5 linked regions of the Oryzias latipes genome follow. The main gene of each other region encodes a partner of the protein of the gene in region 3 in a complex. Links are inferred from orthologs where the notes say so. Each region holds a gene or a part of one and is shown on either strand. Other genes may lie near its edges. The genes, in order: sos1, rgl1, kras, ral guanine nucleotide dissociation stimulator-like 2 and mapkap1.

What was found.
Region 1: the proteins of kras (region 3) and sos1 are in contact, whole or in part, in a crystal structure (PDB 8BE4), measured with the Homo sapiens proteins. The link is inferred for Oryzias latipes from reciprocal best matches to the Homo sapiens genes KRAS and SOS1. Residues at the interface, in NP_001356715.1 of Homo sapiens: Ser17, Ala18, Ile21, Gln25, Asp30, Glu31, Tyr32, Pro34, Thr35, Glu37, Tyr40, Asp54, Ile55, Leu56, Asp57, Thr58, Ala59, Gly60, Gln61, Glu63, Tyr64, Ser65, Ala66, Met67, Arg68, Asp69, Gln70, Tyr71, Arg73, His95; in NP_005624.2 of Homo sapiens: Lys602, Trp809, Thr810, Lys814, Leu822, Met824, Ile825, Arg826, Thr828, Thr829, Thr832, Leu833, Leu872, Val875, Ser876, Asn879, Ser880, Ser881, Pro882, Tyr884, Ser908, Asp910, His911, Tyr912, Lys913, Phe929, Phe930, Gly931, Ile932, Leu934.
Region 2: the proteins of kras (region 3) and rgl1 are in contact, whole or in part, in a crystal structure (PDB 7SCX), measured with the Homo sapiens proteins. The link is inferred for Oryzias latipes from reciprocal best matches to the Homo sapiens genes KRAS and RGL1. Residues at the interface, in NP_001356715.1 of Homo sapiens: Ile24, Gln25, Glu31, Asp33, Pro34, Thr35, Ile36, Glu37, Asp38, Ser39, Tyr40, Arg41, Leu56, Tyr64, Met67; in NP_001284600.1 of Homo sapiens: Ile651, Arg653, Asn660, Gly661, Asn662, Met663, Tyr664, Lys665, Ser666, Ile667, Met668, Lys685, Asn687.
Region 4: the proteins of kras (region 3) and ral guanine nucleotide dissociation stimulator-like 2 are in contact, whole or in part, in a crystal structure (PDB 8B69), measured with the Homo sapiens proteins. The link is inferred for Oryzias latipes from reciprocal best matches to the Homo sapiens genes KRAS and RGL2. Residues at the interface, in NP_001356715.1 of Homo sapiens: Ile24, Gln25, His27, Val29, Glu31, Asp33, Pro34, Thr35, Ile36, Glu37, Asp38, Ser39, Tyr40, Arg41, Lys42, Tyr64; in NP_004752.1 of Homo sapiens: Ile651, Arg653, Glu660, Asp661, Gly662, Ser663, Val664, Tyr665, Lys666, Ser667, Ile668, Leu669, Lys685, Lys686, Asn688, Arg689.
Region 5: the proteins of kras (region 3) and mapkap1 are in contact, whole or in part, in a crystal structure (PDB 7LC1), measured with the Homo sapiens proteins. The link is inferred for Oryzias latipes from reciprocal best matches to the Homo sapiens genes KRAS and MAPKAP1. Residues at the interface, in NP_001356715.1 of Homo sapiens: Ile21, His27, Val29, Glu31, Asp33, Pro34, Ile36, Glu37, Asp38, Ser39, Tyr40, Arg41, Leu56, Glu62, Glu63, Tyr64, Ser65, Ala66, Met67, Asp69, Gln70; in NP_001006618.1 of Homo sapiens: Phe280, His287, Gly288, Phe289, Ser290, Leu291, Ile292, Gln293, Lys307, Lys310, Arg311, Arg312, Lys313, Gly314, Ser315, Phe363, Glu365, Ile369, Val374, Met377, Leu378, Ser380, His381, Tyr484, Glu487, Ser488.

The regions. Positions count from the first base shown.
Region 1 is NC_019859.2:117,191-121,705, forward strand, and holds the start of sos1 (son of sevenless homolog 1), read right to left. Parts: upstream 2,886-4,515; 5' UTR 2,431-2,885; coding exon 2,344-2,430; intron 1,073-2,343; coding exon 947-1,072; intron 642-946; coding exon 510-641; intron 301-509; coding exon 136-300; intron 1-135. Other genes in the region: tmem178a (transmembrane protein 178A), read right to left, coding at 3,949-4,190.
Region 2 is NC_019862.2:29,177,921-29,182,270, reverse strand, and holds the start of rgl1 (ral guanine nucleotide dissociation stimulator-like 1), read left to right. Parts: upstream 1-1,482; 5' UTR 1,483-1,688; coding exon 1,689-1,853; intron 1,854-4,350. UniProt on the Homo sapiens protein: Probable guanine nucleotide exchange factor.
Region 3 is NC_019864.2:21,725,126-21,729,689, forward strand, and holds the start of kras (GTPase KRas), read left to right. Parts: upstream 1-1,503; coding exon 1,504-1,614; intron 1,615-2,857; coding exon 2,858-3,036; intron 3,037-3,259; coding exon 3,260-3,419; intron 3,420-4,564. UniProt on the Homo sapiens protein: Ras proteins bind GDP/GTP and possess intrinsic GTPase activity. Plays an important role in the regulation of cell proliferation.
Region 4 is NC_019874.2:28,742,419-28,746,313, forward strand, and holds part of ral guanine nucleotide dissociation stimulator-like 2, read right to left. Parts: intron 3,036-3,895; coding exon 2,932-3,035; intron 1,888-2,931; coding exon 1,803-1,887; intron 9-1,802; coding exon 1-8. UniProt on the Homo sapiens protein: Probable guanine nucleotide exchange factor. Putative effector of Ras and/or Rap. Associates with the GTP-bound form of Rap 1A and H-Ras in vitro.
Region 5 is NC_019870.2:25,040,390-25,045,042, reverse strand, and holds the start of mapkap1 (target of rapamycin complex 2 subunit MAPKAP1), read right to left. Parts: upstream 3,167-4,653; 5' UTR 2,981-3,166; intron 265-2,980; 5' UTR 96-264; coding exon 1-95. UniProt on the Homo sapiens protein: Component of the mechanistic target of rapamycin complex 2 (mTORC2), which transduces signals from growth factors to pathways involved in proliferation, cytoskeletal organization, lipogenesis and anabolic output.

The sequences.
Region 1 (4,515 bases), on a different chromosome or scaffold from region 3:
CGCACACAGACACACATAAAACACACATACAATCACACACATACCAACACACACAAACACACATTTTCAGGAGTCTCAAAGTATTCTCAGCGTTCGTCAGGTGTTTCTAGAACGGCGTGGGGGGTTAGAATGTACCTTGTCCGCACACATGGCCACAGTGATGTCCTGCTTGGTGATGTCATAGTGGCGGATATTTCTTACATAGTTTCCTGCAAGTTTTAGGATGTCAGCAGAGATGTACTCCAACACAGCTACCATGTACACGGACACCTGGTGCTCAATCTTATAGCCCAGAACCTCCTGAACACAATGCATGATGGGAGACAGAGAGATGCAAAAGTCCTGAGATCTTTTCAGTGCTCCAAACCGCGGCCCGCTTCCCCAAACTTTCTACTCTGTGGAAGCCAACAGCAAAGCTTCTTCCTGAAGACGATTCTGTCTGAGAGTCAGAGTTACTGATAAACATGGACAAGAGCGGAGGATGGAGAAAACACTGACAGGACGGTTACCTTCAGCAGGGGATGGATCTTATCAACCGGCAGAGACAGAGGGTTCCTTCTCTTCCTTTTCTCGATGGCCGCCTGAGCATCTGCAATCGCCCACTTGTCGATAGGATAAGGAAAACTCTTCTGGACCCTCTCCTAAGACAACCGACAGAAGGTGTGAGGACCAAGTGACCTGACCTGCAGGCTTGACCTCACTTAGGTGACTAAAGGTAAGAGGGTTTGTTTCCAGGTTTCAGCATCCCTAAGCCTGTAGGTCTGAATCATTGGTGGAGATTTCAAGGGCTTGTTGGTGGAACATGCATGTGGCCACGGCAAACGTGTGCACGTGTGGATGGGTGCAGGTGTGCACGTGTGTTTGTGTGCACATGTATTTCTGTGCATGTGTGTATCTGTGTATGTGTGCATGCGTGTATCTGTGCATGTGTGCACGTGTGCGTCACCTCCACGTCCTGCACTGTGCGAGGCTGGGCCTGACACAACATGCTGAGCAGCAGCAGGATCAGCTCTTCGATGTACTGCAGCGCCTCCTGCTGGGACTTCAGGTTGGGGTGTACCTGGTTCAGTACCTGCAGCGTGCAGCCACACACACAACGTTTGATCAATAATTAAACAAAACGAAATGACAGAGCAGGTTTGATCAGAACAAGCAGAAACACAGGCCTCATGGATATGTGCTGCCCCCCAGTGGAGGAGGACAGAAAGACACCTTTCTCTCTGAGTTTCTGTTGGTTTTAGCTTCTTCTGTGTTTCTTTTTTTTAATTTATGTTCACCAACAGGCCGAAACCCACTTATGGGCGACGGTCAGACTCTACACCGGGTTCAGGTCTGCATGCTGGTCCCACAGGAACCAGGTAAAGACCAGACCTGCTGCTCCTTTCATGCAGCTAAGAAGACCTTCTCTGGAAATGTTCCCGTCCAGAACCACAGCTGATGATCACAAACAGTTATTTTAGTCCAGTTTTAAAGTCGTTTAATCATAATTTAACCTTTTGGGTTTTAAATCCCATTAAATTAATACATGCAGGAGTCCAAACATCTGTCCTGACCCAATAGAACATCATCTGAACCCAGGAGACCTCAGTCCATCCAACCTCCCACATTTCCACCTGATGCACCGCTGGCAGTAGAACCAGAACCAACACAGAAACCATGAGCGTTACAAACCAGGTCCACATGGTGGTAGACCGTGTTGTGGGTCAGAAACCTGTCATCATTCTTTGAGTTCCTGTTGTAGTTTCTGCCTACCAGCTGGACTCTGCCATCATTAAATGGATCTCTCAGGACGCGGGCCTGATGACAGCGGTCAGAGGTTCTGATGGTGAGCAGAACTTATGAAACATGGATCCAGAGGGTCAGAGGTCAGCCACCTGGAGCGCTTCTACCCGGTCCAACCCACAACTTTGGAGGTCCAACAAAGAACTCTGGGACAGTGAGGAACAGATTTGCAGAGTGTTGATCTTCTAAATCACAAGAGAACCACATCAGTCCAGGTCGGATCGGGACTGAAGTGGTCCAGGTCGGATCGGGACTGAAGTGGTCCAGGTCGGATCGGGACTGAAGTGGTCCAGGTCGGATCGGGACTGAAGTGGTCCAGGTCGGATCGGGACTGAAGTGGTCCAGGTCCGATCGGGACTGAAGTGGTTCAGGTCGGATCGGGACTGAAGTGGTCCAGGTGAGCTGGAAGAGTCCAGAACCTGTAGCCTCCGGGGAGCAGGCAGACCCCGCTGCCCCCATCTGACGTCAGCCGTCCTGTCACGGAACGGCCCGGCTTACCTGCAGGGCCACACCTGGCTGCAGCAGCCGCCTACGTGCGTGCGTGCGTGCGTGCGCACCTACCTTCTCCAGGGAGGGCACCAGCAGGCCTCTCCACCGCGGAGCGTTGTCCTCGCTGCAGAAATCGAACTGCAGCTGGCCCGTCTGCATGCTCACACGCACGCGGCTCCGTTTGGCGTGAATTCTGTGCGCGGCTTTGCGGGTCCAGCTGCGCGGCTGAAGCCGGGGGCCTCACGACGTCCGGGATCCGCCGGGACCGCCGCCACCATCCTCGGCTAACCGTTAGCTCCGCGGCTAGGAGCTAGCTGGACCGGGCGGAGGGCATGGCTTGCTGCGCGCTCCCGGGCTGCGCGCTCCCAGCACAGGCTCGCCGGCGGCGGGAGGGAGGGGGTCTCTGCGTCGGTTACTGGGCGCGGAGGGGGGGGTCAGCGGAGCAAACGGCGCGCCGCGGCTGTCATGTCACCGTTGCGGCTGGGGGGGGGGGCTCCAGTGCGGCGCCTGCGGGTGGGGGCCGCGTGACACCCGGTCTGTCTCAACCAGGATCCGAACCGGAAGGTCGGACGGTCACCTGCTGACGGCTGCAGCGCTCCGGAGGACCGAACCGAACATGGCGAGATAGTGAGCATGCGCAGTGGGTAGTTGCTGACGTTCAGGGGCGGGGCTGCTGTAGAGCGGAGAATCAAACTGATCTGATGGGAATCGGACCACCGGAACATAGGAGCACGTGCAGGTCAGAACTCAAATAATAAACTCTGTCCTGATGTACGTTTTTGAAGGTTAGAAACAGAACCGGAACCAGGACTGACCTTGATCTGGGTCGGGGGGGTCGTAACAACCCCCCTCCGCCCCCATTAGCTTCAAAGTTCCAGAGTGGAGTCTGATTTGAAGATTCAACACTCAGAACCAGAACCAACTGAGGGACTCCGTACCAATGAGAAGAAACCACTCTGAGATCAGGTGGGCTTCAAGTATTTTATTTACAAATGGGGGGGGGTCAAGTGGTGTGTGGGTGGGGGTCAGGTTAAGTGGTATGGGGGGCCCTGTTCGGACCTTCTTACCTGCACTAAGGAGGTGTCTTGATCACCTTTACAAAAATCTGGTGCTGTTGAGTGAAAAAGGTTTGGACACATCTAAGTTCTGCTGACTTTTCAATGGACCGGACATGGGGATCACGACCCCCCCCCCCCCCCCATGTGTCTCCCACCTGTCTGTGGCCTGATGGGGGGGCTGAAATGGATCTGGGCTCATCTGGAGCCAAAAACTGCGCCTCCATGCAGTCAGAGAGGAGGCTCCATCATCGGACCTGAACCCGCCCCTCAAGATTCAAACTCACCAGATCTTCACCTGTGATCACACCTGTGTAAAAACCGCAGGGGGGGGGGGTCAGCCAAAATACATAATTTCACAATGAGAAACGGTCACTGGCTAACAGACACTGTAAGACCCGTCCAAGCCGGGTCGGACGGCGGTTCCTCTGACACTACAAACACTGTTCCTATCGAAGACACCCAGAAGGGGGCGCCATGCTCCACAGAAGCTTTGCAGCAGAGGTATGAGTCCTCTTGAGGTTCTCCCTCAGCAAGAGTCCAGAAGCCAGTGTAAATAAAACCTCTGCAGCCCAGTCTGGACCACGTCTCGGAGTCCGGTGTCCTGCTGATCACCAACAGCTCACACAGAAGATTCCCGTGCAGTTTTGGACCTCAGAGCTCGGGCCCGGTTCAGGAAGGGGAAGGTGGTAGCAAGGCAGCCGGCAGCCACGGTCAGACCCAGACTTGTCCAGGCGAAGTAGATGGACCAACCGTACCCATGATCCACATCTCCAGGCAGACCGTAGATGAAGGGGGGGTTTCTGGAGAGGTCATAGGTCACGCTGGCCGCATAGGTACATAAGGAGATGGTGCAGAAAATGCCTGAAGACAGACGAGAGAGAAGATCAGAGCAAGGACAAAAAACCAGACGAAAGTCTGGACACTTAAAAAGTTACTCCGGAGAAACGTACTTTTTCAAAAGGCCTTGTCCTGCTTTTCTGAAGCTGTTCAGAGTAAACTAGATCCATATCATCATATATTACCTTTGGCACAATAAAGAACTATATTTTATGAAATGTTAGTTATTTTCCAATCCAGAAGAAAGACAACTCAATCTCTGAGGCTCCGCCTTTCACTCCTTGTGGGTGCCGCCCATTTCGTGACATCATCTTAGAGTCGGCCTCAATCTAGCCACAGGGGTTGCAAG
Region 2 (4,350 bases), on a different chromosome or scaffold from region 3:
TCAATTTTACGACAGTTGGCACTTCCACGAACTAAAAATGACGCTACGAATGAACACGGAGCCTGAAGCGGGCACATGTGCACGTTTCCGCAGACTTTTCATTGGATGTGGTCGCTTGAACACCTGTTAACGTGGGCGGTGGGAATGTAGCATAGCACCTATGTGCATAGCACCAGCAGGCTCCTTACACAGGGTTCAAGGGGGTTAAATGAAAAAGAAAAATTGGTACGACTCACCTGCGTCACCCACAGCATGCCCATAGAAAAATGTGCATGAACATTATCTTCCTACGGGTTGGCAGAGCGGTCCACCACCTTGATATTTCCTGCGGACCACCTACCTGCCCCCCAGCAGGTTTGACTCTTTCACATCCGCAGAGAGCCCGTAAGCACAGTTGTTACTAAAATTTTAAGTTACCATGTGTACAGCTGATTGTCCCTCAATCATAAAATACTTTTTAAACAAACAGAGTAGTTTTTCTTTCCTCTTTGCTATTTTCATACTTCCACCTGAATAACGAGAGAGAATTTCCCGTTCCCTCTGAGATCTGAAACTAAATCTTTACATCTATCAGTCAGTTCTGGATAGTTTTATACATTTTCATCCAGACTAAATAAATCTAAACTTTTTGGTGTTTGGGTTGATTATTTCTGAAATTACTTGTTTCTAAAACAAAATTGTAATGGGAAGGAAACTTGTGTCTTTTTCTGGTTGTGTTTGAGTGAAGCACTGCCTGCCTCCGGGTAATCCTCTTCTCTTAGTTTTATACGTGACTTCTCCTTAGAAGACACACACACCCACTCCACACACACACACACACACACACACACACACACAGCAGTTAATTTTGAACACGCTGCGACAAAAGTTGCTTATTACAGTTAAAAAAATCCTGCAAAAGAAGTCAACATCCTGTTTTATTTGGTGAATAAGAAGCCAGCAGAAAAACACTGAAGCCTCTTTTCAGACTGCTATATGATGTTTAACACACACACACACACCCACACTAACTGACCTTCAGCACAATAAACAGTTTTATGCTTTTTGATCTTTGTGCTGCTATAGGAAAACAAAAGGATCTCATGTCTTTTTGACTGATTTAATTCAGAATCGCAGTAAACTGCATGCGACAAAGTTCATAAATGCTGTGAACTCAGCCTGAACACGTCCAAAACTCACACAGGCTGAAGACAATCCTGTTCTAAGACTGTTTTTTGTTTTGTCTTTAGATTATTTTTAAAAAGTTTTCTTTTTTTGGCCCAAATCTTCCCCCAATGATTGATAGAGAAAACCTGCTTTTTTTATGTAATTCTTCGAAGCTCTCCAGCGACATCCCTTCAGGTTTATCAGCCTTCCTGTCTTTCTTTCTTTCTTTCTTCTTGCCCTTCTCCTTGGTCACCCTTTAAAGTGGGGCGTTTGCCGCCCACTTGTAGCTCCTCCCCCTCTGCCTGTGATGGATGTGAGGAGAGGAAGACAGACAATAGGCTGAAATCACTCCTGCTTCAGGGCTGCTGGAGAGCTGATCTCCAGGCTTTCTGAGAGGACAGAGGGAGGAGGGGGGGGGCATGTTTTTGAGAAGACAGGAGGACCACAACATCTGACTGGAAGACCAACAGAAGACATCTGAACTGAAATCCAGATTGGAGCATGGCGTTCCCCCTCCCCAGCCTCTGACGCAGGCAGCCAGCATGATCTCCCAGTACCCTCTGGCCACCCTCCTGCCCTGGGCTGCAAGCCCCCAGCACCACCAAGCCCACCCCGACCTGGACTGCACTTTACTGCTGGAGGGGGAGGGGGGGGTTGCCCTGCAGAGCTTCCAGCCCCGCTACCCGGAGAGCAGCCCACAGCACTGGGTCAGTACTGCATGTCATGGAGCCGCTGAGCTTCCAGAATCTTTACAGAACCTGGCAGGTGTTCTGGTTTTCATCATCGCTGTGTCTGAAATGAAAGGTTTTGCGAAAAGAAAAACAGAATGCCAAAAGAAGCTGGAAATGATAAACCCTTTACAGATACGCAGCGAGGAGGAATGATGGGGGGGCGTTGGTCGCCCCCCTTCAAGGTCAGTTTGTTGGCTGTTCTCACAGATAACATGAAAGAGAGGGTCAGAGAGAAGAAACAGAATCAGTTTGACATGAGAAGAATCTCAGAAATGAACAAACTGCTGCGAAACAAAGAGAAACCTGTTCAGTCAGTCAGCTGTGATTTTTTTTTGGTTTTAGTGTGAAAGGGTCTACAGGTAATTCTTTTCATAGGTCTTTCAGAGTAAACTATATCTATAGATGTGATAATGTAATACTTTGGCTAGAAACATTTTTTTTATAAAGTATTAATTATTTTCCCAGCTCATTGTCCTACCCAGAAGTAAGACGACTCGATCTCTGAAGCTCCGCCTCTCGCTCCTTGTGGATTCAGCCCATTTCATGACATCATACCAAAGCCGGCCTCAGCAGCGTGTCTGCGTTTCGCCCACAAAAACAAACAAATCTGAACTTTTGCAAAGACGTATGTGCATATTGTGCATAGAAAATTAAAGCGTTTAACTGATCACCGCTAGCTCCACGGAGAAAGAGGTTGGGTGTGTGTTAGCCTAGAGGCGGGGCTGGCAGCGCAGACTCTTCCTGGTAGGGGCTGTTCTTCACTTTGTGACATCACAATGTGAGAACCCGCTTGTTTTTGTGGATTGGGAGGGGCTGGTGCTCAGAGACCAGGATTTTAGAGGCATACTCAGAAATGCGTGAATGGATCAAAAATACTGCTTTGAGGTTGATTTTTGTGAGGAATGAACATTATTAAAAAAACGATCTTTACACCCTCAATGAAGTCTTGAGCAAGTGATGAGTCAAAGACTTACAGTAACCTTTGTGTGTGTGCTGTCTGACTAGAGTTCACACAAAGGGTGGCTTGTGTAACACTTGAAGCGTCAGTGTTGCTGTTTATGTCCCTTTATGCATGCTCACTTGTGGCTCTAACGTAAAAGGATTAATGTCCATAAAGGAAAATCGTCGGCCATTTCCACGCTTTTCCTCCCTGCAAAAACATAAAGCTGGTTTTCTGCAACTTCAGTGTGTTTGCTGGAAGACTCTAATCAGATCAAAGACTGATGAAGAGTGGGGAGTGATTGGATTTTGAGGCGTGAAAACATCTGAGTTTTCTCTTTTTGTTCAATCAAAAATGATGGTCGACATGAACATTTTCTGTCTCAGTACTTGTGGTTTTGAAGGTCAACGTTTCTTTGCCTCAAAGGTTTTCTTGATCAGGTTCAGAATGTCTGTAGACGGAGCTCCTGCTGGCTCATCTCATGTCTTTGGTTCGAATCTGGCTTCAAAATCGCAGTGGCCCTGTACTGGCAAAGTTACTTCTATCTCCATTTTCCTCAGCATGTTTTCCGATCATACTTTAGTATAAACAGTTCCGACCTCTGAAGCAGTTAGACGACAAGCTGCATGGATTTAGACAAAAATGAAATGTTGGACATCAAATGACCAGTCTCTACTGAACGCTTGGGTCAACTTCCCACCGTTTGTCCTGCTTTTAATCTTCCTCTGTGCACTGCCGCATTTCATTACGCACATTTTGTAGCCCTAATGTGTGAGACAGAAAGCTTTGAACTCTTCCATACCTGAGATGTTGCAGGATGACATGCCGCCACTCAGGGTTGGCCAACTCTGGTCCTCAAGAGCCACATCTTTGCCTTTTTTCCAGCTCTCCCTGCACTGCTTGCTGCTAAAAACCTAAACCAGGTGAGTTCAGTCAATCAGGATGTGAAACTTCTTGAGTAAGCCAATCAGCAGCAAGCTAGTCAGGGAAAAGAGGAAAACAAGCAGGGTAGAGGCTCTTGAGGACCAGGGTTGTCCAGCCAGACCCAGATTCAGCCAGCACCACTGCGACTGTTCTTCTGAAACATGGGATCACTGTCACACTGTGACGTGGGTTCGGGTCTGGATGGTCGTCCTCCTCGCTGCCCATCAGACAGCCGGGTCGGAGCCTCAGCCCATCTCACAGCACCATTTCCTGCCATTGTCCCCCCCACCAACACACACTCTGGACATTTAGTTAACGTGCAGCAGCTCCGCCGGTCCCGCCTTGTGCCTGTTTTTACTGTGCTGACTTGAAGTTGTTTTCTGAGGGGTCAACAAGGTGATTATATGGAGTAAAGGCCTTCCATAAAAGTTATATAAGAGAAACCAGAGTAAACAAAACTGTTGGGCTCACATAAACCTTCCTTATGAGGTTTTTATTTGCAAGAGCAGCTCCCAAACTCCTGGTCTTTGTCAAATCTGACAGTCCTCATCTTCTTGCATCATTTACTTTATTGGCCCACACAAACGTGGAGTGGGTGTTGCTCTGCAA
Region 3 (4,564 bases):
CTTTCATTAAAACACACTACTTTGTTTCATTAAAGCGAATAAAAACCAACTTTTGGGGCTGCTTGAAAGCTCCGGTGCTAATGCGGCTAACAGCACAGCCGTTAGTCTTATGCTAGCAGGTTTTCCTCATACGGGATAAGGATTTAATTGACATTTTAATGTAACATTTTTTTTTAATTTAGACATAACGTGGCTGTCCCGACCTGCTTCAACAAAACCAAAATACACAAAAGTTTAGTTGAAAAGCCGCGTCCGCTTCATACGGGTATCAATCTTTAACGCTAGGCTAATATTTGTATAGGTGCTAATCAATCTCCATTAATCCCATCATTGTGTTAGCGGTGAATTTGAGTGCTTTTTCTTTCCGCGTTGGGTTTGAATTAAATATACCCCTAACAAAAGATTGTACACAATTTTGTGACTTCCCAGGATGGGATTTCAGAATCCACAGCGTTTGATTTGTCTTCCTGTTCAAACACAAACCTTCAAAGGACAAACACTACTATCGACTGCTTTTGCCTCCTTTAAACTAAGGAAGAAAAATGGCATAACCCATACCCCCTCTACTTTAAATATAAAAATATAAAATAAATACAATAATTAGTTAACAAAAAAAAGCCTAATTTATTTCTTAAAAGTTTCTAAAATGAAACTTACATTTTCCTCTAATTTATAGCTAGTTTCACAAAGTTTGAACCGGCTTTAAAAACGTGGTGTTCCTACATAGCTTTCCTTTTTTTTTTTTTTGACTCTTTCAGCCACGGTAATCTTAGTTGTGGAAGCAGTATTTAGTGCATCTCTTCTATGGCTTTGAGGAGTTTGTATTGTAGTCTTTGAAAAGGCCAGCTGCCAGTATTGATAGATGCTGCTCCACAAAAGTCAGACAGCAGAGAGCCTCCCTGTTGCTTGTCAATTTTACAGCCTTAATGTAATGTCATAGATTTCTGCCTGGAGCTAGGTTCTGTTGTCTGATTATCACTCAGAAAATAGCCCTGAATGTGTTGCTGGACTCAGACCTTTGATTTGAACTGAAAAACTATCTATTTTTTACTTCTCAAAGCTCACCACCTGCTTATTTCAGGTCACTTTTCTATAGAAGTTCTGTTTTGTTTTACCTTTTTCTATAATGATGAGTTTTAATATACATGCTTAGCATTTTATGACAGCTAGTCTTTAAATTTAAGGTTCATATGTTGGTTTTGTTTAGATTAAACAACAAACTGTATTTTGTGATTGCATTTTTTCAAACTTTCTGGGACATTTGGATTTTTACTGCATTGCAGCTGTCAATTTACAGGTTTCCTTTAGCAAGAGATGATCAGATGACTGTCCCCTAAAACTGTCTGCAAATTATTAGAAGTATGAGAAAAGAAACCAAAATTGACAATAACAATGAAACCAAGTGTCATAATTTTGAGACGTGCATCATTTGCCATTAAGGGTTCCGCTGAATTGGGGATGTACTACTTGATGATGTTCTTACTTTGGTCCCTCAGGTGAATCATGACGGAATATAAGCTGGTTGTGGTTGGAGCTGGTGGTGTTGGCAAGAGCGCGCTTACCATTCAGCTCATCCAAAACCATTTTGTGGATGAATATGACCCCACCATTGAGGTAAAGGAACATTGTGTATGGATACACAAATTGACAGTGCATTAGCAATAAAACTTGTGTAAAAAAAAGAAAAAGCAAAGAGTTGTAACAGGTTCTACTAGTTTAACTATTAAAAGACACCAAACGGGTTTTCTAATGGCTTCACACTTGGCTTCTTGCACAGTTTCTTAGAGCCAACTGATTTAGTATGAACAGTTTAATTTAGAGTTCTTTTAATTTGAATTATTTTTATTGACATGCATTTTTTAGGTCAGACAAACTCCATGTTAACTCGGATAAAAAGAGCAGCGCTACTGTTCTTTTTATCCAGGTTAACATGGAGTTTGTCTGACCTAAAAAATGCATGTCAATAAAAATAATTCAAATTAAAAGAACTCTAAATTAAACTGTTCATACTAAATCACTCCATGTTAACTCCATGTTAACCTCGATAAAAAGAACAGTAGCGCTGCTCTTTTTAGCTATTTTCATCTGTGCGATTTAAAAAAAAAAAGAAAAGTGAAGCACCGAGTGGGACTTCAGTGTAACTTGAGGCCTGCTGCAAAATTGATCAGAAAGGGACAATAATTGAGTGGAGTCCAGTTTCAACTTTGAAGACACGACAAAATAATCATCAATGCAGGCCTGCTTAAGTGGTACAATTATGTTAAGATTCTAAGCTACATGACAATCATTTCAGCAGAAAAAACTATGAATTATGAAACAAAGCCATTGAGTTTCTTAAACTATGTCACATTTTTTGTATATTCAATTTTATTCACATTTAAATTCTTGGCCATTTTTTCTCCCTTCAACATAGTGAAAAGGGAAAAATTGCACTGGTGTTTTTTTTTCCTACTAAAAAGAAAAGATTTTTAGAACTTTGTAGTTACTTCCTTGTTCGCCTTTTATCCAAATTATGTCAGACCAAAACATTTTTGCCTTTTTTGTTTGTAATTTTTTTTCTTCAAATAAAATGTATTACTACTGACTGACTATTTATATCTTTATTTCACCATCTAAAATTAAAAGTGATCACTTTTGCCTAGTATTGTGAAACTACATTTGAATATACTTGTATATTTATCATCACTTCTGTTTTTTTATAAATATTTGGTGACTCCCCAGTTTGTGTACATTTTTGCAAAATGGCGAAACAATTTTTATATTCTAAAGTACTCTAAGCATAAAAACAACTTTTTTTTGTTTACTTGACTCACTTTTCTACAGAGTTCTGATCATTTGAAACTTATTTCTTGTTCAGGACTCCTACAGAAAACAGGTAGTAATTGATGGAGAGACGTGTCTGCTGGACATCCTGGACACTGCAGGTCAGGAGGAGTACAGCGCCATGAGGGATCAGTACATGAGGACAGGGGAAGGCTTCCTCTGTGTTTTTGCTATCAACAACACCAAGTCTTTTGAAGACATTCACCACTATAGGTGAGCTGAAAGACAAGCTGGCAGGCAGTAGTCTTCCAGAACTGTTGTCATTTTTTTCTTCAAAATAAAAATGTGTCCATTTGTAAGTAATTATTTTAGCACAAAAATAAAACATTCATCACCGAACAAAGGTGATCTGTGGTCTGATTTGAATCTATTTATGTGTGGAATTTGGAATAATTTGGTTGATGGTTAAACAAAGTTCATGTGTTTGACTGTCCAGAGAACAGATTAAGCGGGTGAAGGACTCTGAGGACGTCCCCATGGTGTTGGTGGGAAACAAGTGTGACCTCCCGACCCGGACGGTGGACACCAAGCAGGCTCAGGACTTGGCACGCAGCTTTGGCATTCCCTTTATTGAAACCTCTGCCAAAACCAGACAGGTAAGTCTGCCCTCGGCTCCATGCAACATGTTTTTTTTAAATAATAAAATGTTATTTCAGAAAAAAAACTAGGATATTGTAATTTAGAAAAGTGTCTTTTAAAAATTTCGAATGAATTGAAGATAAGTGATTGAATCACGTTTCTGCTGATTTGTGTCACATTCACTGTCTCTAATGGCCCTTTTTATCATAATGTTGGAGGGAAATGTCCCTGCTAATGTATTGAGCCTCATTAAATCATCTCTCTTTAATTGAATTTTTATTTATGTGAGGTAAGGTAATCACTGCATGCTGCTACGTCATGAAATGACGAATTGACATTGTCAGTTGGGCCCACCTGAAACCATCCTTGTAAATAATCTGCAAATCGGTTCAAATCAGGGGTCTGCATGAAAGGGCAAACTGTCAGTAATTTCTGAGAGGTTTGATTCTTCAGCGAGCTGGTCACTGTTTGTGGGTGTTGGAAGATTAGCTGTGGTGTTGCATCCTGTGGTGGGTGTCGTGATCGTTGCCTTTGCCATTAGATGGGCTCATGGAGTGATCTGTGAACGTGTTCATCCTGGTCTGTGAGCTGCAGCCAAACAGCACTTTTTCTGGTGTGGGGAAATGATTGGTGCCGTGACTAATTCCTGGCAGCTTTGTTCACCTATTCCCTCTTGAGTGTCCCGTACCTTTTGTTCATACGGTTTCGCTCCTGTCTGATTGCAACTTTACTTTTGTTGGGAGTCAATTGCCCCCCCCTCAAATGTTTATTTTTTTTCCTCTGACTTCTGTGGAAAATCCTGAATGCATGCACCCTTAATTTGTGTCCAGTTTGAATAAAGTGATATTCCACCCAGTTGTTAATCTCCTGCAGGCTTGGAATGTGACTCTGATTTTTAAGGAGGCGCCAACTGCAGCCTAAACACAATAACTGTGTTTATTTTACTGCTTTATCAACCAACTGCTGTCTGTTACACTGCATCATCATTCCCATATCAGTCTGTTGATCCACTTTAAGACATGATCTGTGTAGTGTTACTCAATAGGATGAAAAATAGCTGTTTTTCGGAGTGCTAAGCAATAGAATAAAGTTGTCTTTGTTGTGAGTTCATGTCAGTTCTTTATGGTATCTCTAAAACTATAAGGCCCTTCATATCAATCGT
Region 4 (3,895 bases), on a different chromosome or scaffold from region 3:
GTTCCCTCCTGAAAGACACACAATAAAAGTGGAACATGTTTGATCTGATCTCAAGATCTCCATCAGTGCTTTTTGGTTCTGATTTAAGAGCAAGAAGCTCTGTTAATGCAGATAAAAAAAGACAGAAGAAGGAAAAACACATTTGCTGCAACATTTCAACCCGCCCCACCTGGTCAGTGATATTCATAGTCACACATTCACTGCGAGAGCAGAACTGCAGATTTAAACTACGTCTCTTGGCTGGCCTGGGACTGGGAACGTTTTGCCCCCCCCCCCCCCCCCCCCCCCAAAAAAAAAAAAAGGAGCTGGAGGAAGTGGCTGGGGAGAGGGAAGTCTGGGCAGCTTTACTGAGACTGAGACCCGGTCCGGATGAGCGGAAGAAGATGGATAGATGGATGGGTGAGTGTGTAAATGTGTATGTTTTGTTTCTTGAGTGTGTGCTTGTGTGTATGTGCTAGTGTTTAGGTGTGCATGGACGTGTGTGTTTGTGCGTACATAAGTGTGTATGTGGGTGTGTATGTTAGTGTGTATATGTGTGGATGTAAGTGTCTTTAGAAGTGTGTGGATAAGTACATTTGTGCGTATGTGAGTGTGTTTAGGTGTGTGTGGACGTGTGTGTTTGTGTGTACTGTATGTAAATGTGCAGAGGTCAGTAAATGCATCACACCGTCGATCATTTTTGTCTCTTTTTCCTCTTAACTGACCTCAGACACCCCCCATATTCTACAGATTTGATCACACAAAGTTTTTTTTAGTCAAGTTTTGTTCTTTTTTTACATCCCAAAGGATCCGGTTCATAACTGTCTGCCACTTTAAAAAAAAAAAGCTCAGACATGAAAGATGTAGCAGAGAAATCAAAGCTCCACCCAAAAGCTGTGGACTTTTTCAGAAGAAAAGACAGTAAACGTTTGCATGGACTCTTCTGGGGGGGGTGAAACTTCACCACCACAGCTAATCAAACTAACCGTAGCAGCTTCCCAAAGTCAGAGCAGACTAAATATAGCGTTTCTTCAAACGGACGTCTGGCGGAAGTGAAAGTGCTGACAGAATCGGAGCATCAGCTGTTTTCTGCTCTTTAAAGCCCTTTAACGCACCGACCGGATTCCTGATCAAGCAGCTGAGGTCTTAAATGACTCCGACTGCAGGTGAGATGATCATGCTGTCAGAACCTGATCAGATGTTCCTGCAGGGAAAGGCTTTGGAGGAGATTTGGGGTCTAAAGCTTCAGTCAGGACTGACAAATGAGGAAAACAGAACGTCCGCAGGAAGACTTCTGTTGACTTAGTTGAGTCCTTGGCTTTCCCTGCAGCGGCTTTGCAACGTTTACTGGCAAACATAGTGGGAGACGGTTGTCTGCCGGTTTCCCACGTGGACTTGACCACAAGTTATGCGAGTTAAAACCCAAAACACGAATCTGCAGCTTATCAGGAGAAAGCATCTCTGAGGCCTGTTGAAGCCCTGCAGGGGGCACACGAGCTGCCAACAGCTGCAGAGACGTCAGAAAACAAAAGAGCTTTTGAAACCCGACTCCCAAACACGGTCAGGGTGCTCAAACTGGCAGCTTTCCCCTCCCAGCAGAGGCTCTGAATGACTTCACCCGCCGTCCCATAACAGGAGATGCACAAACACCATCATGGACGCCTGGCATCAAACCTCAAGCACGTGAGCTCCGCTTTCCGAGTGAACCAGCTCACCTCTGAACGCCCCGTGACCTCGTGACGTCGCCCCACGTCCGCTCACCTCACCCGGAAAACACAAAGCCCTATTCATTCCGCTCCTTCCTTATCTGCAGCACAGCTCACCTCCTTCAGCAGCTCCCGCGTCTGTGAGTAGTTGTCCTTGTCGGAGAAAATCTCTGCCAGCTCCTCGTATCTCCTCAAGGCCTCTCTGTGAAGGAAAAGGTCAAGGGTTCAATTAGATTCCCGCTTCGTTTAGATGTACAGATGACGTAAAGGCGATCTGCACCAGGAGAAATGAAAAGTACAATAGCAAGGATCAATCTATCACACTTTCACATGGAAAAAAAGGACGGAAAACTTTTGTTATAACTCCTTCTGTCATTAAATACTTTTAACTTTGAATTATTTTTAGTCCATTTTAAAATCGGATTTTTGACACATTTGAAATTTTCCTCTAATACATTAATAAAACCCCTTTTCAATTCATTTTTAACAGTTTGACCTTATTTAATTTAAAATAAAAACATTAAAAAGTACATTTTTATTTGCATTTCTTTTATTTGTTTAATTTTTACGAAAGTATTTCTACTTTTTCCAGCCGAAATGATGCAATGTCACTGCATGTGCAAACTAATATATTATAACCATTAATCACTAGAAAAATATACTTTTAAATAACCCAGTTTAACTTATTTGAAATTTAACTGAGATATTAAAAGGACATTTATCTGTAGCTTAAGTTACTGTAAGAAGTAACACAATAATAAGACTGAATAACACAATGTTTCTTAAAGTTCATCAGTAAATGTAAAATATTATTAATTTTACCTTCTTCTATTTGATCCATTTATGATTTTAATCTTTTATTTTAAAAGTTATCTTGCTGTATTTTCAGAATAAAAGACTTGGCAGATCTTAAAATGGAATTAAAAGAACCTTAGATTATTGTTTTATGGAATTGTTTTCATTAATTTTGAACCAAATCAACCCATGACTCTGAAGTTGGGAAGAAAAACAAAGTCCTCCCCATTCTGAAACAGCTGTTGGAAGTGTTTCAGCTTTAAACATTTAAAGGGAATTTGGCTAACATGCAAACTGAGGCCTGAAGAATGAGAGAAAAAGCTCAATTTCCAAGTGGACCGCCCTGTCCTAACATCTCGCTGCAGAGCTATTGATCATCAGTTTCTCGCTTTTTCATTTGTTAGATTAGTCTGCTTCTGCCTCTCTGACTTGACAGAACTACGTCCCACACCTGTCGGTGTCGTGCCACGTTCTCCTCAGCCGGTGGATGGGGTTACTCTTCAGCGCCGAAACGACGGCGTACAGCGAGGAGAAGTTCTTCCTGGCTCTGCACTCCTGTTGGAAGCACAAACACACGCATGAACAGGCGTTTGCATGAACAAACACAGACGCTCCTTCCTCTGTTGGATGAGGATGGAATGGCGAGGAAACCAATGAGAAACCAGCAGTGAGCCAACAAACCACAGTTTGACCAGAGATACCCTGCAGACAGAAACCCAGAGTCTGTGTGTGTGTTTGCACTGTCATCGCTCTGACATAACGCCGAAAGCTGAGCCAAACACTTTGTTTGCACACAGCTCGTATATCATAAATGCCCCTTAGAGTTAGAGTTCCCTTAGTGTGACTACAGATCGGGAAACATGGAATGAAAACATCTTTTGTGTGCCAGAAAGGGAGTTCAATTCCCACAAAATTTCCCATGAAAAGAAAAAAGGAAAATAAAAAAACAAAATGAAAAGTTTTACACATTTAAAGAAGGAGAACCTAAATAAGTACACCTTCTTTCCCCAGCCCATCATAAATAATGAATTAATAGAGTTTCATTCCATAGAAAAAGTATTTCAAACACACAAGGGATTTTTCAGCGTAAAAGTCTATTTATGGTCATAAAGTCCCACTTCGATCATCTTTTGATCTGTTTTCAAAGCGTTCCCAATGGTCTTTTCATTATGGTTATGAAGTTTTTTGCCAAAATATAAGGAAATTAAATTGTCGCTTTCCAGGACATAGTTTCTGCAGAGCAGCAAGAGCTCATTAGAAATTAATCTCTGAGTTGTGGACGATACTGTTGGCGTGAAGTTAGCCCTGCCCCCCCCTTTCTATTACCCATCTGTTTAGATGCTCTACCACTAGCTCACAGCACCTCACACCCCCAACATAACATCAGGGGTGCAACAAAAATGGCGAGCAACATT
Region 5 (4,653 bases), on a different chromosome or scaffold from region 3:
ATGAGGACCATCTCACACATTCCTGTGTCGTCGCTGGTCACATGAGACTGCCTGATGTGGGCCAAAATGATTGCAGGATTGTCCAAAAAAGCCATGTCCTGTGTTCTCAGTGAGACAGAGTAAAGCTTTTTGTCACCGTGGAGCCTGGACACATAACGTGGGCCTCACTTTCTGTTCGGCGCACCTTGGCAGCTAGTGGGGCAAGTTTTTCATTTTCAGCCCTTTACTATTCCATCACGTCCACTGATGAAGATGTAAAAGGCCCTGTAAAAAGGAAAACAACCAGAAAAACGATCAGACAGACAACTAGAACATATTTGTTTTGTTTTGAAAAATGTTTGTGAATATAGATTTTCTTTTTGTTTAGAACTATGAAATGCGTGGGTCAATCCAACTCATTGACTGAATATGAGAACTGGACAGAGTAAGTGTGACGTCACTCACAGAAAATTGGCTTACTTCTGGTTCCAACCAATTGAAGTAACTTCAGTCACCATTTTTTGCAATGTGGACGTCGCCAGGTTGGGAGTCAGACAATGTTAGCAAGGAGTGATTGGTCTAAGACAATCAGAGTCAACATTGTTATGGCAACCACTCTCACAAATCCAGAGAGAGCTTGTTGAAAGGCCACACCCCTACCACTTAAAGCGGACTGCACAAAATCTGTTAATCAATCTTTGAACATGAGGCCACACGCTTTTATTGAGACCCATGATTGGTCAGTTTATAACATGATTAGCTTGTACTAAAGAAAAAATATTATTAGAAAAAATAGGATTATCAAGAACATGTTCAAAAAAGGTATCGGAGCAAGAATGGTTATTCTGACCAACAGAATGACTGATTAACAGCTGTTTATTTCTATATAGAAGTCTATAGGATTTTGGCTTCTTGGGGCCAGCGCGTACTTCCTGTTAGGAACACCAGGGGGAGGGGTCGGCAAGTCCAGTTCTCTTATACAGTCAATTGCCAAAATGTATTTGAACCATGTTTTTTTGGTTATTTTCAATATTGATGTTGAAGTCCCGCTCCTATCATCTTTTGATCTATTGCAAAAAGCATTCTCAGAAGTCTTTCTTTATGTTTATGCTGTTTTATGTGTAGTTTTCTATGGCATGGTTTCTGCAGAGCAGCAGGAGTTCATTAGAGATTCTCTGAGTTGACCAGTGGCACATAGCTAGCCCACCACCACTTCCCGTCACCAATCTGTTTACAGTCTCTCCAACTAGCTTAGAGCCTCTAACAACGCCAACCTAAAGGCCCGTTCACACCGGGACGAATTTCGCTGGCGATTTTCGCCGACGTTTAACGCCTCGTGACTAAACAAAGGGCACCAATGGGAGTGTGCACACCGACGCGAAAAAACGCCAGGCGTCAAAGCGTCAAAAAAAAAAACGCCTCGGGTTCGTTTTTTTTTTTTCGACGCGTCGCGTCGAAATCTATTCGACCAATGAGAATGGCGCTTTTGCACACATGTCTGGAGCTTCTGAAGTTACAGTAAAACACAACTTGGGGGCGCTCAAACACAAAACTGCCTTGCTGAGCACACATACCAGCGAAGAAGATAGACGCCAAGTAGCGTCTACACTGCTGCGAAGAAATAATGACGGACATTCTAAAATATCCCCGAACCAAGCACCAGTTGGAGCAACTGGTGCTTGAAATATTCATGTTTTCTTTGTTTGATTCTGACAAGCGCGTAAATACTTGCTCTCTTCTTCTGAGTGAAAAGCGACTTTAATAAGCGTAAAGTTGCGCAGCGCCACCTTGTGTACAGGAGTATTTCTGTTTACATTAAGCGCCATCTAATGTCAGGGAAGGAAATTGCATGTTCGCTCGGCTCATCGTCAGTGGAAATCGCCTGGGTGTGAACACAAAAAACGTGGCGAAAAACGCTGGCGAATAACGCCTGGCGAATATTCGTCCCGGTGTGTACGGGCCTTAACATGAGCACTGCGATAAAAATGGTGAGCAATATTGGCGCTGTCCAGCCATACAGTTTTGATCCAGATTCCAGCTCAGACAGGGAAAACAAAGATGTACATGGAACAAGTTGTCCATGAGTGGATGCATTAGAATGAGGAGGGGCAGGAAGCTTGTGGCTTTCTGCAGTAGCTTCAGTTACAACAAGCTTTTTCTAACAGCATTTCTTTGTCTGCTCCTGATTCACAACTACGTGAACACAGAAATACTCAGAAATACAGTTTTGAGCCTAATTTTCTTTATATATGTCCTCTATCATCAGACAAATGCCAGTGTTTTTTAGTGTTTGGGCACAACGCTAACTTTTTTTTTTTTGAAGAATCAGAAGTCGTGTCACATCTGAAAACACGAAGTTTGTTCACAGTGTTTAGTCTAAACACGGATGTTGACAGCTACAACAGGCAGATGACGGCGCTGAGCGCATGGGCAGCTGAGAAGAACACTTCACCATCAAGAAAACGGATTATGAGCACAGAAATCACTGTGATGACGTAACAGTTCCCACTGTAACAGCTGTAAATGATGTCTGACGGTCATTTCAGCTGAGGACACAGTCTTATCTGGGGAAAGTTCTCACAGGAAAAACACGCTCGTGTAAAACACACGACACAACTGAAACAAACACCACATGTCAGTAAATACAAATTTGTGTCGGAGTTTATCATTTTAAGAAGGTAGAAGTTAAACAATCGGATTAAAAAGTTCTGTGTACATTTATCAGATCATCATCATGTTTTGCGTTAGCAGCACCTTGTTTTCCTAACCAAAATGGCTCACTTAAACCAGCTGAATTACAACAAAATCCATTTCAGCTGCTCCAAAAAGTAGCAGGAGGATCTACAGACTGAAGTGATTCATACTTTATAAGCGTGTAACATGACAGGAACAGCTTACAGATCGCATTACAGTCGGTTAGCGGTGACTAAACTCAAGCTAACGATTATCTCTCCCGAGTCAGTTAGCAATAGCAGTGGTATGAACAGAAAGAAGATCCCACCTCTACGTTTTTCTGACGAGACACAGCAGAGTCCACGTCCCTCCATCTCATCCAGTCTACTTATTTGGCCGACGAGTCGTTACATCCGTGAAAAACAATTCAATGCATTAAAGTCTCAAAACAACCGAAAGCCAATGCAATCTGCTGCGCTCGTGCAACCAGGAAGACATCCTTTTGACTTCCGGTGTAATCTCTTCACAATAAAAGAGCCACCAAACGAAAAACACGCACAAGAGCAGTTCACTGACCGAGGCAGTGAAAGTAAAGGAACACTGAATTATATGCACCTTTATTCCTTACTAGTATTTCAGCGTTTACAAAATGTTGTGCACACATCCAAATGCACTTCACACTAGAAAGTGAAAAAATAAAGAAAAGTTAAAAAAGAGAGAGAGATGCCAGAGCAAGATAAAATTATGCTTTTGCAAGTTCAAAGTATCATCACATGAAATAGAAATGTGGCTGCAAAATCGTGCGATCATGAGTAAAAAGAATTATCGCAGCAAAAATTTGCAAGAACCTTTTCTATTTACATGGATATTTTTGAGATCTTCAAAGTTCTTCCATCTTTCCATTACACTTGTGGAACCTGTCAACAGATTTCCATCTCTCTCTTTAAAGACCCACTCTGGTGAAATTCTTATTTTTTGCCACAAGAACATGTTTTTGACATGTTCATGTTCTCATTTTTCTGATGATAGAGGACATCCATAATGAAAATTCAGCTTAAAATGGCATTTCTGAGTGTTTATTTATTCAAATTGTTTGGAATCAGGAGCAGTTTGAAGAAGACCACCCTCTACCACTACCCTTTTTCTTTTTATGTATCTTTGCCTGTGTGTCCTTCCATATACATAAATACTTACATTTTTTTGACTTGTAGTTGTTTTATTTTTTTATTCCTGTAGTTATTTGTGGATTTTTGTGGCCCATCACATTTAGGGGGCAGTCACTGTATTTAGGGGGGCATTGCCCCCCACTGCCTGTGCCTTTATCCAATCTTACAGTAAAAAAATTGGATCTACTGGTATTTGTCTGGATATATATATACACAAACATAAAAGTATATTTATGTAACCACATTGCAAACATTACCTAACAGAACTTTTTCGTCTGCTCCTGATTCACAACAATTTGAATAAAGAAATACAAAAAAATGCAGTTTTGAGCTAAATGTTCTCTATACATTTCCTCAATCATCAGAGAAATGTTAAAAGAACACGTTAAAACCAAACACAATTATCATTGGCTTGAACCTTTTCAGCCCCACAGTATGGTTTGCTTTGAGGATGCAAAAATGCTTTCTCCACAATCCGCTTTAATGATGAAACCACGTGGTAAAATGAGTTTTAAAGCATCCCTATTCTGCGCTGTGTTTTGTTCCTGAATTTCTTTTTCCTCATTTGTCTGCGTCCCCCTTATAAACCATAGAACAAATGAATCGGAGCCTGTAAAGTGGAAGGTTTTCTGCGAGGCGTCCACTGAAGAGCATCGTAGCAGTCGGTGGGAGGGGGCGGAGCTATCTGCGGTCAGCAGCGGATCTCGCTGTGGGCCCTCGCTCTGGGTTTAGCTACACGAAACCGGAAACACACCATGTAAATATTAACACTTCAGCTAAAGTTCAGGATCACTCTGTTGGTTTCAGGGCGGCAACATGTTTTGAAAACCAGCCA